Linked DNA regions of Caenorhabditis elegans. The protein of the gene in region 1 interacts with the protein of each later gene in a pairwise test. Each region holds a gene or a part of one and is shown on either strand. Other genes may lie near its edges.

Evidence for each region. The genes of interacting proteins can lie anywhere in the genome.
Region 2: the proteins of wrt-4 (region 1) and dpy-17 interact in a two-hybrid assay, tested with the Caenorhabditis elegans proteins (one large-scale study listed by BioGRID).
Region 3: the proteins of wrt-4 (region 1) and M163.1 interact in a two-hybrid assay, tested with the Caenorhabditis elegans proteins (one large-scale study listed by BioGRID).

The regions. Positions count from the first base shown.
Region 1 is NC_003284.9:15,751,472-15,759,036, forward strand, and holds wrt-4 (Warthog protein 4 N-product), read right to left. Parts: upstream 5,799-7,565; 5' UTR 5,794-5,798; coding exon 5,695-5,793; intron 4,814-5,694; coding exon 4,616-4,813; intron 4,460-4,615; coding exon 4,365-4,459; intron 3,653-4,364; coding exon 3,414-3,652; intron 3,327-3,413; coding exon 2,986-3,326; intron 1,896-2,985; coding exon 1,844-1,895; intron 1,800-1,843; coding exon 1,616-1,799; intron 1,569-1,615; coding exon 1,406-1,568; intron 1,348-1,405; coding exon 1,183-1,347; intron 1,135-1,182; coding exon 997-1,134; 3' UTR 786-996; downstream 1-785. Other genes in the region: srxa-9 (Serpentine Receptor, class XA), read left to right, coding at 93-380, 434-667; bus-17 (Hexosyltransferase), read right to left, coding at 6,548-6,702. UniProt on the Caenorhabditis elegans protein: Intercellular signal essential for a variety of patterning events during development.
Region 2 is NC_003281.10:5,105,287-5,109,027, forward strand, and holds dpy-17 (Cuticle collagen dpy-17), read left to right. Parts: upstream 1-2,043; 5' UTR 2,044-2,046; coding exon 2,047-2,461; intron 2,462-2,513; coding exon 2,514-3,157; 3' UTR 3,158-3,205; downstream 3,206-3,741. Other genes in the region: F54D8.6 (C2H2-type domain-containing protein), read left to right, coding at 1-569, 656-770, 1,046-1,156, 1,212-1,310, 1,378-1,534. UniProt on the Caenorhabditis elegans protein: Secreted collagen that forms part of the nematode cuticle, which functions as an exoskeleton and a barrier to protect the worm from its environment.
Region 3 is NC_003284.9:14,502,839-14,505,975, forward strand, and holds M163.1 (uncharacterized protein), read right to left. Parts: upstream 987-3,137; coding exon 537-986; downstream 1-536.

The sequences.
Region 1 (7,565 bases):
TTCAATCCCCGGTTCGGCCCATTCATTTTACGCGACCGGGAACAACACTATTACATGAGCCTACTTACAGCTTGCAAGTTGATAAATTTCAGATAACTGTATTTCAAAATAAATATTCTATTATTTTGCCGTTATCCTGTATGTTTGTCAATATTGGAATAATTTTACATCTCCGCTTCAAACGCGAAGGCACATACGAAATGATCAAGAAAGTGTTCAGTAAACATAAGACGATAACTCCATTCGCAGTACCACTTCAAAACACAACTCTTTCAAAACTTCAAGCCAGGCGTGATCTCATCATGATGCGGCAAACCGTTTCAGTGGCGGTCTACCTCTCAATTTATGAACTAGGAGCATTATTAATCAGAGTTTTTCCGGTAACACGTTTAATTTAAAACATGAGTTTAAAAAAATATTATCATTTTTGCAGACATTCTACGCAGGCCTTCCGGATTTGGTGCATAAAAGTTATTTTTACATCCGCTACGAGTCAATTCCACCCATGACTTTTTTCGTTTACTATTTGGAAACCGGAAGCACGCGTCGAATGCTTAAACGATTTTTGAAATTCGATGGATCAAACTTTGCGTCAGCAGCGAATCAAACAGTTGTACCAGTTGGTGCAAAACAACAGACGAGGGCCGTCATAAACCCACATTCTTAAGCAAGTATAAAAACTCATAATTTTTATAGAAATTATCATGTCTTTAACTGAATTGAGATGCTTGTTTTGTACTGTTTTAAAAAATTGCAATGACTAAATAAAATTGAACGTCGTAATTTTTGAGCTAACAAAATGTTTATTGAATCAATGTAACTGAAACAAACAAAATGTCATAGATGTTGGAAGTAAATAAATAATTAATTAATTAATTAATTAGGCAACAATTGAATTGTAAAAAATGAATGAAAAAGTGTGAAATTGGTTGACCTATTTGAGATTTTTGATAGAGGATTTTGTACAACGGTTCTGTCCACAATTATTAATAGGATCTACATCAACTTTGATGGAATTACAATATCCAACACAGCCATAACTCCGTTAAGACCGTAACCAATGTTATCCTCATTTGTGCTATCCTCAACAGTCCAGAAGTAGTTGCGGATTTGTGACTTCCATCGGAGAACATTCTGTAATAGTAATTTGAAATTTACCGTAAAATAGGGAACTCTACTAACAGTGAAGAAAGTGTTTTGAAGGCTGTAATTGTCGGTTTCGGAGTGGCAAGATGCATGAATACGGTCTACCAGGAGATGGCCACGTGACGTCATTGGCGAGTAGATTCCAGTTTTTTGCACAATATTGATGTCAAGAACTTTTACGCGTTGATACATTTGGGACTTCTGAAAATTTTGCTGTTCAGTTACAAAATGTTTTCATATATCGAAAATCTGATATTACCTTGCGGTGTGCAATGTAGAAACAGTCTCCAATGTTTACTCTCTCAGCTGGTACTGGGTTTGCATTTATATTCTCATCCTCAGAATAGGGCACAGAACATTGAGTTACAAAGACCAAATGCTTCTCGGTCAATGAGAATGTCTCTCCGTTGTCAAGTGTGAATCTGTAATTTGTATTGTTAAAACGGAATGCTCAAACCAAAGGTATTACTCTACAAAATCTGCAACTTGTTTTGGATCACGATGAAGCCAGTATTGAACCGGGATAAATGTTACTTGAGAGCCATTCTTGTCGAGAGCCTGAACCCAGTCTCCCACTGCGAGCTCATCCATACGTTTGAATCCTCCATTATAAACATTGACCATAGCGTCTCCAGGGAAGCAATAATACAATTCTGAAATGTGGGTTGGGAATTATTATTAAGGTGTAAAAACTTACGTAATCCAGAAGGTGCGAATCCCATTGGAGCATATCCAGCTGGTGCAGCAGGCTGGAAAAATAAATGAAGTTCGGAAAATTATTATATTAATTATGAAAAAAATAGTTTGCTGATTATATTGGTTAATGGAATGAGAGAGCGAAGGGTGATAATAATACAATTCATGAACTTATTTTATTGTAACACAATTTTTTAAATATTAAAGGTGGATTAGCGCCAGTGGGGAAATTGTTAAAAACCACTCCTTTGGTCCTAAAATGACCAAATATCATGATAAAACATTTCAAAACATTTTTGAAAATTTTTAATTTAATGTCAAAAAGTGGCAATTACTCAGTTTTTCCACTCATAATTTTGGAAGTCGACCGGAAAAAAAAATTTTTTTCGACTTTTTCATGTTCTAATTTTGTTTGAATTCATTGTATTGAAACATTGTAGGGGTCGAAGCATGCAACATTTCTTTAAATTTGCTCTAAAGCTCGTATTTTTCAAAATGTTGACAATTTGCCAACACTTTGACCGGAAATTATGAAAAATTTTTTGGAGTGTTTTATTATGACATTTGGTTGTTTTGGATCATTATAAGTGGATTTAGACAAAATCCCCACTGGCGCTACTTCACCTTTAAGAGTGGAATTGTATGATTACACTTATAATGATCCAAAACGACCAAAAAATAATTTTCAGATTTTTCATAATTTCCTGTCAAGGACTTGACAAATGCCAGAATTTTGGAAAATATGAGCTTTTCAGGAAATACAAAGCAATGTCGCAAGTCCGACCCCTACAATGTTTTAATACAAATAATTAAAACAAAATTAGAGTATAGAAAAATGTAGGGGAAAAAATTATTTTTTGGTCGACTTCCAAAATTCCGAGTGGGAAAAGCTGAGTAATTGTTACCTTTTGGCAATAGATAAAACATTTTTTAAAAAATTTTAAAAGGTTTATTATGATATTCGGTCATTTTGATAGTTTTTACATTTTCCCCACTGGCGCTACTCCACCTTTAATATTAAGAAGTATAAATGAAATTAATAAATTATTAAGTTATTTAATTAATTAGATTATTAAATTAACAGAACTGAAAAATAAAAATGGAAAGCTAGTTATCCAAAAAAAAACAGTATGCTTTTCTTACCACTGGATTTTGGACCACTTGAGGTTGGAATGCCTGTGGCTGGAATCCCTGCGGCTGAAATCCTTGTGGCTGGAATCCCCCCTGTGGCTGGAAACCTTGTGGTTGAACAAATCCTCCTTGCTGTCCTGGTGGTGGTGGTGGTTGAGGGTTTGTTTCTTGAACAAATCCTTCTTGAGCGACAATTTCCTCAATAATCACTTCTTGTCCATTCTGAACACCTTGTGGGACCACAAGCTGTCCAGTCTCAACTGGGGTCTCCACATCTACAGTTGGAGCTTGGTGAACGACAAATCGATGCCCGTTGACGTGGCGAATCGTGTTCTCAGAGTTTAAGATTTCAGCTGAAATTTAGAGTGTTTTTTAAAACAAGTCAATTTTTTCGTTTTGACTACAATTCTGTTGTTTTGTTTCACCCCAATATTACTTACGGACTGATCGATCAACTTTCTGAAGATCCAAGCATGAGAATCTTTTAATATTAACTTCGTAAAAGATTTCTCCTTCGGAATCAATCTTCTTCTCTACATTGCTAATATAGTCGAATGCATAAGGCTTATTATCTGCGAATATCTCTCCTCCAACAACAATTTGTCCGCCAGACACAGTTGCCACGCCTCGATCTATCGATGCACGCAATGGAGCGTAGGTGCAGCACTTGTAGGCAACACTGAAGCGAAATAGGTTGCAAAATTTTCAGAACTTAAAGGTGGAGTAGCGCCAGTGGGGATTTTGTCTAAAGGCACTTATAATGATCCAAAACAACCTAATATCATAATAAAAAACTCCAAAAATTTTTAGATTTTTCATAATTTCTGGTCAAAGTTTTGGAAAATTGCCAAAATTTTGAAAAATACGAGCTTTTGAGAAAATTTGAAGAAATACGGTATTTTTTGACCCCTACAATGTTTTAATACAAATAATTTGAACAAAATTAAAACATAAAACATGTCGAAAAAAATTTGTTTTTTAGTCTACTTCCAAAATTATGAGTAATTGCCACTTGTTGACAGTTAAATCAAAGGATTAAAGGACGATCCGTTCTTCAAGTGCTATGCACTGCGGACCTGGGATTCAGGTACACTGCCTGGTGGTGATCTTTCTGGGCTGTAATTTAAGCCACGTCCTAGCCGGGGACTGTGGCCGATAATCCAGTCGTGGATTGCTCCACTTCCCAATAGAGGCTGGGTGAACCTAGGGGTGAGGCCGGACTTGAACTCGTGACCTCCAGACTGCTAGCGGCCACCACTACCGACTGAGCTATCTGCCCAATTTTTTGAAAAGTTTTATCATGATATTTGGTCATTTTGGGACCAAAGGAGTGGTTTTTAACAATTTCCCCACTGGCGCTACTCCACCTTTAAGTCTGGTCTAGTGCTTACATTTTGGTGGTAGATGCATTCATGACTGGTGCAATTCCTCCAACCCATTGGTCCTCTGGGTTGCATGATAATGATTGGAATTCTTGTTCACAGCTCTGAAATATTTCATTAATAAAATAACTTTTTCATCTTTTTACTGATCTCCTTTTTTCTTTGATTCTACATATGGGTCATAAAAACCTGCTATGATGTTTCATTCATTTTCTCATCATTTTTCAATTAGCTTTTCCCTTTCATTCTCTATCACTCACTGCTTGCTGCTGCGCGTAAACTCTCGGGTCGGCCGCATCAAATGTATGAATAGCCAAAGGATCATCACGTAGGAAGCCGTCCGATTGTTGATCGATTCGGAAGAATTTGGCGTTGGTTGGAAGTTGGTGGCCATTTGAATGCCATCCAAAACAAGTTGGTCTTGCGCATCCGAGAATCGGTTGACCAGATGAAAGCACCTAGAATAAGTAGGGTAATTTGTCATGTTAAGTATGCTTTGGCGGAATGTTTATAACTATTATGTGTAAACGATTGCAGAAAGTTGAATGTTTTATAAGTTTTAAAAATGTCAAAATCGGTATGGTGTGTATTATACCCCGCCATTTTAAAAATTAATGTTTTAACCTATAAAAAAAACGTGTGAAAATTCAGGCTTAGGAAAACGCCATTCCTCAGCCTAACAAGTTAAATGGGTATCACGTTAAATTTAAGTACTACTATGGTGATAAACTTTCTATAATGAATATCTTATAATAATAAGGGATAATTTAATTCATTTTACTACAAGTGATTAATAATTATGAATCACAATTAACACTTCATACACACGTTTCATTATATAACTCTAAGCTTTGTAAATTGAGTCGCGTTTGTGACATTAGGCGTAGTACACTATTTAATGAAAAATATGCAAAAATGTTTCATATTGGTTCAAATTACTTGTACTTGTACTGTACTGTACTTGAACTGTACTGTCAACTACTTATAAAATTACTTGGGTACTTGTGAAGTATACCTGGACTAAAAATATACGCCATTTTTTAAAGTGAACATCCGTAACCCTTTTTGTCCATATTAGGCTCAGGATTAATGTTTTTTGAAGCTTGAAAGTGCAAGTTAGTTTTATATTATTTATCATTTTTTGAAATAAATAAATGGTATACTACAATAGTACCAAAATTTCAAAAAAAAAAACGGCTAACTTTAGCTAAAAATAGTATTAGAGAAATAAACCTAGAACCCGTACTCTGTTTTTCTATGTAGTTTAGGCCAAAATAACATTTAGCGGGTGTTTTTGTAAAAGCTTTGATTATTTTTATTACATTTCTTTTTCTCTTACCTCTAAACTATATGGAATTGTTGAATCTCCGCACTCCGATCCATATGTGAATTTATAGCTAGAAGACAACAAAACTAGTGCAAGTAAAGAAAACCTCATTGTATCTGAACAAATTCAAGACTATAATATTAGAATAGATAATTGTAGAAGTGGCAAGAAAATGATCTTTCAAAAAATATTAAAGAAGTGGAGAAAAAAAAAGAAAAAACTTATGAATTAGAATGAAATTAAGTGGTGAAGCATCCAGTTTAAATATCCAAGCGATTTCTTATCAAAATGGGCGGGACTACCTGGCCATCGTTTATCAAAACGCCTACCTTCTTGGATCATCCTAGCATCTACTTTGCTTCTTATTTTCTCTGTCCGGCAAGGTTTTGGAAAAAAAAGTACCATATCCTACAAAAAACTGGCCAGCGATTATGTTTTTTTTTCGAACCGCCTACGTCTGATTTATACGATATAAGGATCTACTTTGCTTTTCATTTTATTTTTCCGCCAAACTTTTGAAAGAGCTTATCTAATATCCTACAAAAAGCTGGTCAGCGACTATGTTTTTTTGCAAACTGCCTATATCTGATTTATACGATATAATTATTCACACACTCGTTATAGAAGAACAAAATTAAGAACCGCGGTGACTGATATAACCTGATGTGGATTCATTTGTTATATTATGGACATAAAATATTTTGGAACATATGAGACGTCGGAAACATGAAGACAATAAAGAAACAAAATTTAAAGCGAGTTTTAAAAAAGATTCGCAGAAATTCAAAATAATTGAGAGAAAAAGAACATATGGCTGGATGACACGTGACAAAAAAGTAGAAAAAATTGGTGAAACAAGAGGACTTCACAATATCATTTTAGAGTTTTGCCATAGCGATTCCAAATATTTCGCCGAGTGCCTCGAATACTGATAATGATAAACAACAAAGTCGTCAAATGAGTGCTTGTCGAATCCTTCGTTATGGATGAGACCAAGTCCGACGCAATTCGACAAAACGCCTGTAAGAAAACTAGCTAAAAAAAATAAACAAGAAAACTAGCGATAAAAAATTTCAAATATCATTTGGAGAAACTTGTTCAGAATAGATTGCTTTAAAAAATTTTTAACAGCGAGCCAATTTTTGCAGAATTTTGGCAACTTTGAATGTTCTTGAAAAATTCTATTTCTTTGAAAAAGTCAATTTTTTTCAAGTTTATCTTTCCAAAATATTTTAAAGTCTTCCAGTGTGTCTTTTCAGATTTAAACCTATTAAACTATCAAAAAAATCCACTTTGAAACAAATTTTACGGACTGTTTACAGGCCAAAATTAACAAGCTTCGAAGTGCTTCACTGTATCTAAATTTTAAGCCGTAATCTATTTAAAATATTTTTCAATAAGTTTTATTCAACAGTTTGGCTATTTTTTTGACATTTTGATGCTTGCTGATTTAACCACAAACCACAATGACCACAACAGTATTACAAAATATAATTGTTTGCAAGTTGAATCTGATATTTTGCAACATCCTGGCTTTCCTGTTAATATAAACAAGGTTTTCTTATCAATGGAAACTCGCTTTGAATTTTAGTTCCGTATGCAAAGCTTGAGAAAGATTCTGGGAATACATGATGAAATTATAAATTTCGAAAAAACTAGCTTCTGGGTTTCTTTTTTCTTCCTTGTTTATTTTTAAAAGCGTTAAATTTTGCTAAGTGGCACTGTCTGTGAGATATTCCAAATTATGAAATCGTTCGAAGACCTACTTTTGTCTAATTTTTTTAAAATTTTTGCTGGCTGATTATTAAATCTGGTAAGTACAACTTTAACAGAACAATCATTAATCTCAACATTATGTGGCTTAATTTTACCTTGATGTTTTA
Region 2 (3,741 bases), on another chromosome or scaffold:
AGCTATGGAAGAAATTGAAGAACAATGTAATGCATTTGGAGGTGAAGATACTCCAGAAGCAATTGAACACGATACAAAACTTATGGAAATGATTAAGAAACGAGGTGATGAACATTGGAATCAACGACATAATTATACACCTGTTGATCATTCGAAAGGAATTCCTGGAGTCGATAGACCACCTGGTGGTAATAGGGATCGTGGTGAAAAGGTTCGGAGCAAGTCGCCAGTTACAGGAGTTGATAGACCACCAGGTGGAGACAGAATTGAACGAAGTAGGGATCGAGAACCGGGTGGTGGTGTTCCTGGGGTTGATCGGGCGCCAGGCAGAGGATCTCGTGGAATCGATCGCCCACCTGGAGGTGATTCTCGTGGTGTTGATCGACCACCTGGAGGTGGAGGAATTCCTGGAGTAGATCGGCCACCAGGAGGTGGAAGGCGCGGAGTTGATAGACCACCAGGATCTGGAATGCCTGGAATCGATCGGCCACCTGGAGGGGATCGAATGGGTGATAAGCAAAGAAGAGGAGCGAGAGGAGGTGTTAAGGAAAGAGAAAGAAAACGAAGAAGTAAGTTTATTCAACCTTTATTCCACGAAAATTCGAAATCCTTATGTTTTTTTTTAAATATTTTTAAATAACGCTTTATTTTTCAGGAGATGAATTCCAGCGAGGAGGTGGTGGTGGTGGCCGAGGCGGTGGCCGTGATGGTGGAAGAGATTATGGTGGTCCTCCGCAAAAATCTGGGCGACGTGATCGATATGATGATTAGTGAGTTCAGCAATGAGCAGAGATATAAAACACATTGAGAAAGTATACGAAAGCCCCTTTTTCTCAGCTATCTCGGAAAGTAACTTTACTTTCAATTGAAATTTTCGAAAATTTGCTCTAAAACTGACTCAAATAATGCCGATCGACACTTCACGACTTTGAGGCAGTTTGTCAAAAACTTCTCGAAGCCTTCAATTAAACATAAAAAAGTATTTGTGACTATTCGCGTTTCGAAACCCCAAAAAAATTTCAATTTTTCAAAATCTCGATTTCAGCGATCGATCGTATCAAGGAACAAGTGGATATGGACAAGATTATGATTCACAAACATATGGAGAACGTGGTTACGATGGACATTATCAAGGACAAGAGGATTATTATGGAAGGTAATAAAATTAAATATTTTAAAATGAAATTAATTAAATTTAATAAACGTTTCAGTCAAGAAGGATATGGAGAATATAATCAGCAACACTACGGTGAAGGATACGATCAACAAGGATATGGGCAAAATGGAGATTCATATTATGGACATGAAGGGTAAGGAAAATCACTTTTTTAATTGTTTGAATTGTATTTTTATTCAAAAATAATTACCTATTTTCAGCCAAGATGCATCGACATATTACCAAGAAGATGGCAGTCAATACTACAATCAATACTACGGTACTGCTCCTGCAGAAGGTGAAGCTTCAGCTGTAACTGGAACGGATTATCATGCAACATTCAGTGTACCACCACCACCGGCTCCCCCTCCGTCATAAATTTAAGAATTGGGAAAACTAAATATTTTTGAATCAAAAAACTTCCTTTTTCAATATTTTCTTCAATTCTTTCCCGATTTCTTTCAATTTCAATAGTTGACTTTTATTTATTTTTAATTTATAAAATTTCTTATATTCTTCTTCCTCCTTCTATTGTATGAATATTAAAAACAGGTCCTTCGACCCGAAAAATCCCCTTCTCAAATCTAGGTCATCATATCGGAGATAACGGACAATTATGCATAATATTCGAGATGATTATCATATCGGTCATATGAGGGGGCGGAGTCTCGCATACAGTAGTCCTTTGTCCTTGTGCGAGGGAGTTTATGAGTATAAAAGGGTCCCTGAGAGAGGAGAAATGGACACTTTTATCAAAACATTTTCCATCTTTGTTTATTTTGACGATATTTATTCGCTGATACGAATTTTTGCAATTTTTATCCCGGATACCGTATTTCTTGGCAATTCAGATTACGCGCAAATTCTAGAATAAACATGTTTTCCAGATCATGTCAGTGTTCGCGGGATATGCCGCGTGCACCCTCGGTGCCGTTTCGATGCTTCTCTGCGTCTCTCTTGTCCCACAAGTCTATCAGCAAGTCTCGATGCTCCGGGACGAGTTGACGACTGAAATGGAGGCATGGCGTCTCGAGTCCGATCAAATCTACATGGATATGCAGAAGTTCGGACGTGTCCGTCGTCAAGCCGGAGGATACGGTGGATATGGTGGATACGGTAGCGGACCATCTGGACCATCCGGACCATCTGGACCACACGGTGGATTCCCAGGAGGCCCACAAGGACACTTCCCAGGAAATACTGGATCATCGAACACCCCAACTCTTCCAGGAGTTATTGGAGTTCCACCATCAGTTACTGGACATCCAGGAGGAAGCCCAATCAACCCAGATGGATCCCCATCTGGTAAGTATAGAAAAAATAGTCCAAAGATCTTATATAAATTGAACATTTACAGCTGGACCAGGAGACAAGTGCAATTGCAACACCGAAAACTCATGCCCAGCTGGACCAGCCGGACCAAAGGGAACTCCAGGACATGATGGACCAGATGGAATTCCAGGAGTTCCAGGAGTTGACGGAGAAGATGCTGATGATGCCAAGGCTCAGACTCAACAATACGATGGATGCTTCACTTGCCCAGCTGGACCACAAGGACCACCAGGATCCCAAGGAAAGCCAGGAGCCCGTGGAATGCGTGGAGCCCGTGGACAAGCCGCTATGCCAGGAAGAGACGGATCCCCAGGAATGCCCGGATCTTTGGGACCAATTGGACCACCAGGAGCCGCTGGAGAAGAAGGACCAACTGGAGAGCCAGGAGCCGATGTTGAACACCAAATCGGACTTCCAGGAGCCAAGGGAACTCCAGGAGCACCAGGAGAGTCTGGAGATCAAGGAGAGCAAGGAGATCGTGGAGCAACTGGAATTGCTGGACCACCAGGAGAGCGTGGACCACAGGGAGAGAAGGGAGATGATGGACCAAATGGAGCCGCTGGAAGTCCAGGAGAGGAAGGAGAGCCAGGACAAGATGCTCAATATTGTCCATGCCCACAGAGAAACACCAACGCCGCTGTCTCTGGAAACCAAGGATACAGAAACTAATTTCACATTATTATTTGTGATTTGTGTTGTTGAAGAAAATAAATTATTTTATTCTCATAACTTTTTTCAATCGAAGGATGTTTTCAGAGAAGCATGTTATCCTAGTTCAGATAATCTCAAGAAATAGGCTTACTATAACAGAAAAAGTTAACTGAATTGCAAACATTTTCAGATAGTAGAAATATAATCAAAACACTTCCAAGCTTTGAAATAGAATACTAAAATATTAAAAAAAAAAACACCCTATTTCCCCAACGAAAATGTTTTGTTACTATTTAATTGAACGATTGTGAACCTATTTTACAAAAAAAGCATTTTGATCTACCAGTTGAACTCAACATATATTTATTTTCAAAAGAATTTCAAAAGATAGATCAAAATAGTTTATCTGAGTTTTTTCATTAATTTTTCCCATGAAAACAGATTCAATACTTGCGAGCATCCTTCTTGTCTCTCTTTCAATGATGCCCGACAAGACACACAGAAACTGTTTCTTTCTCTGCCGTCTCTTATGTATAGAGTGTCCCGAACAGCTGTTTGGAAACGATGGCCGAGTCTGAATGGCCTTGTCTTTTTCTCTTCTC
Region 3 (3,137 bases), 1.2 Mb from region 1:
GAGAAATTGAAGGTGGAATCCGTGAGGTCAACTTTGTCATTGAGCACACACGCTCACAAAGTGCAGGAGGTATCAGAATACAATTGAGAAGAGTGAGAGGGAAGAGTTGAACGGGGATATTTAGAACGGGGAAGCAAAAAACGGGAGAAAAATGTGATTGGCAATGGTTTCTTTCATTGTTGAGTTGAGTGACGGAAATGTTTTTGGCTTTGCTTTAATTGTTGACGAATATAATGCAGATACTGGGGAATACTGAAAAAAATCGTTTAAATATTTGAACTATGCTTACACAAGTGTTTTCGTCATCAAAGAAATATGTTAAATATACGGAAAGTCTCTTGTTACATTAAATATTCCTAGACTAATATTGCATAATGTATGCTCCCACCATTTGCATGGTCTCAGAATACAAAGTGTACTTAGATGTCGGAAGGCCCTCTTGTGCATAAATCGCCTGTCAACGCCGACACTGTGTACCAATGCAGTAATACTACTTGTAACAACAACTCACCTTGTTAGAGAAAAAGATAAATGACTCATTTGAGTACAAGATGAACGTTCTCAACGTAGCTGATCAGTTGCCGTAACTTGCGCTCGTTCTCCGCCAGCAGCTGTTCAAAGAGGTCATCATTCATCTCGGCAATTTTTTGCTGTGTTATCGCCTCGTCATTGTTTCCGATTTGTTCGTTGACGTCATTCTCATCTGGCTGATTGTCGTTTTCGCTTGTCTGTTCGATCTCCTCGATGACACCTCCTGAGAAACCGTTTTGCATCATGATGAACTGATCCTCTGCATTTTCGGAATGATGGTTCTGCTGAACGTCTTCATCTTGATCATCATCAAACTGAAACTGTTGCTGATGATTCCACCGGTAGTAGTTGTCTCTCCAGACTTGTTGATCGTCGCGATTACTGTATGCAATGTTGATCGGAGCTGACTGCATTCGCGAAGAAGAGCTCAGAACCGGCTGTGGTTGACGAGCCATTGTGAATTGATAAATATGAATGAAGGGGGACCCAAGCTGGAAAAGAAATACAGTTAAAGAGGCGAAAAAAGGAAATTGAATCGAGAATTGGATCCTTGCAAAAAAGAAAGTGGTACGAAAATCTGATAGCAAGAAGACGGTGAGTGGGGTGAGTGGGGCGTGAGCGCAGACACATTTGAAACTGCACGAGACAAAAGGTCACATGTTTCAGTTTGTCTCAAAGATCGATTGGGGCTAAAAATAAGCTGATAAGCATATGAAAGATGGTCTGATGTTTAGAGCTATTCAGTATCAAAATATCAAATGGCAACTGCAAAAAAGGATATATCACGGATGAGAGGGGGGAAAGGGAAATGAGGAAAAAAAAGGAAATCATTTGTAAACTACTGATAATGATGGCTGAGTCTTCTTGTCTCACCATCTGGCAACATGTGTTGCTATACCTTGACCCCCTCCCCACAATTGCATTATCAATTGGAAGGCAGAATAAAAGAGAAAAAGCGAGCAGAATGTGCACACACACTCACACACATACACAGATTCATACACTCAGTTACATACTCGTATACACACCCTGATCGGCGGCGGCGGCCCGCACCATCACCAAACCACTGTGGCATGGGGTGGGGGAACTACTTGTGGAGGGGAGAAGAGGGCAGGACCCCGTCCAAACGAGACGAGCCAATTGTCAAGGACAAAGGCGGACGTTGTGATCGGACGGCGGGTGAGGATGGAGGGTGTTTCTCTGCGTCTCGTTCGGAAAAAATGGAACTGTTCGATTGCGGAGCGGCCGAAGTGATGAACACGAAAAATTGAATAATGGGGCAGGGGGCGGAGCTGTGGGTGGTACTGGCAGACGTATAGTTTATCAGCAGCAGTTAACGGCTGTTTTATCAGGTGCACAAAAACGTTTAGCACAGTTTTTGAAAAAGTAATCAGGCAGATGCTGATGTGGTCTCATAGAACTTCTGTGGAATCCGGTACAAGATAACAAAAGTTCAGACACATAGCACTATCAAGAGTTGAAGTAAATTTTTGATTTTAAAGTACTTGTACATATGTTCATTTTTAAGGCTTCAACTTACAGCATAGTAACTTTTTGAAATTTTAATTAAATATTTTTTAATTCGAAATTTCCTATAAGATAACAGTACAGTTGCATTTTTGAAAGCTTTTCTCAATTTTTGGCCCGCAACTGGAATAAATATTCAGATTCGGAAACTTTTTGGCTTCCTAATATGCCCCGCATGCTGCTGATGCCCCTTTCCCACCCAAATTTTAAGAAAGCATGGTTTTCATAGCGTTTCACACTGCTTCTCACAATTTTATCGCGCAGATCGTATCGCTGTTGAACGGTTTAGCCGTCTCTCAACGGGCCACCTATATTCTGACTTTTTCGTCCAAATTGCTTTTTGCTTTTTAACGATAGAATTTTCAAGAGATCCAGTGAGATAAAAGTGTGAAAAAATCTACAAGTCCCGGCTGATCTTTCATCGGGTGGTCCGCGGGAAGTAAAAAAGTGCAAAGCGGTAAACAAAGAAGATCAGAAAAGTGTGTAATTTTGACAAAAAAAATTGCGAAGAACAGCTGAGGCAGACAAAAGTACCAAGAAAGTACCAAAGTTTATCAAAAAAAAGCTTATGGGGGTTCACGGTAACTTTCGAGCGTCTCAGGGTAAGATTGTGCAGCGTTCGCAAAAAGTAAATTTTCTCTCTCTCTCTGTTCTCCTCGAAAAAAAATCGAAAACCAGTAACGAGTTCTTTCAAGTGGCAAGATGACAAATAACTCGCCCATATGCCCTAAACTTGCACTTTTAAATTAGTTTATAGAGTTTGTGCTTAGCTGAGCACTGTGAGCTTGTATGTTTTGCTGAATATAAATATAACTTTTTGTTGAAATATGATAAAATGGTTGTATAAAAGAAGAGAGAAAGAACAACAACAAAAAATTTATGTGTCAAAAAAAACTGAACGGGCGCTGCGGAATATGGGGAAGAGGGGAAGAGGGAGGAATATCGAACACAATCGTTGGGAATGATGTTTGCTTTTCTTCATGACGGCGCTCAAAACACAGTCTGCAACATTACCAAAATCTGGCTCTAATGAAGGTGCACCAGGGAAGACCCATAAAATGATTATCACTCGCTTACTC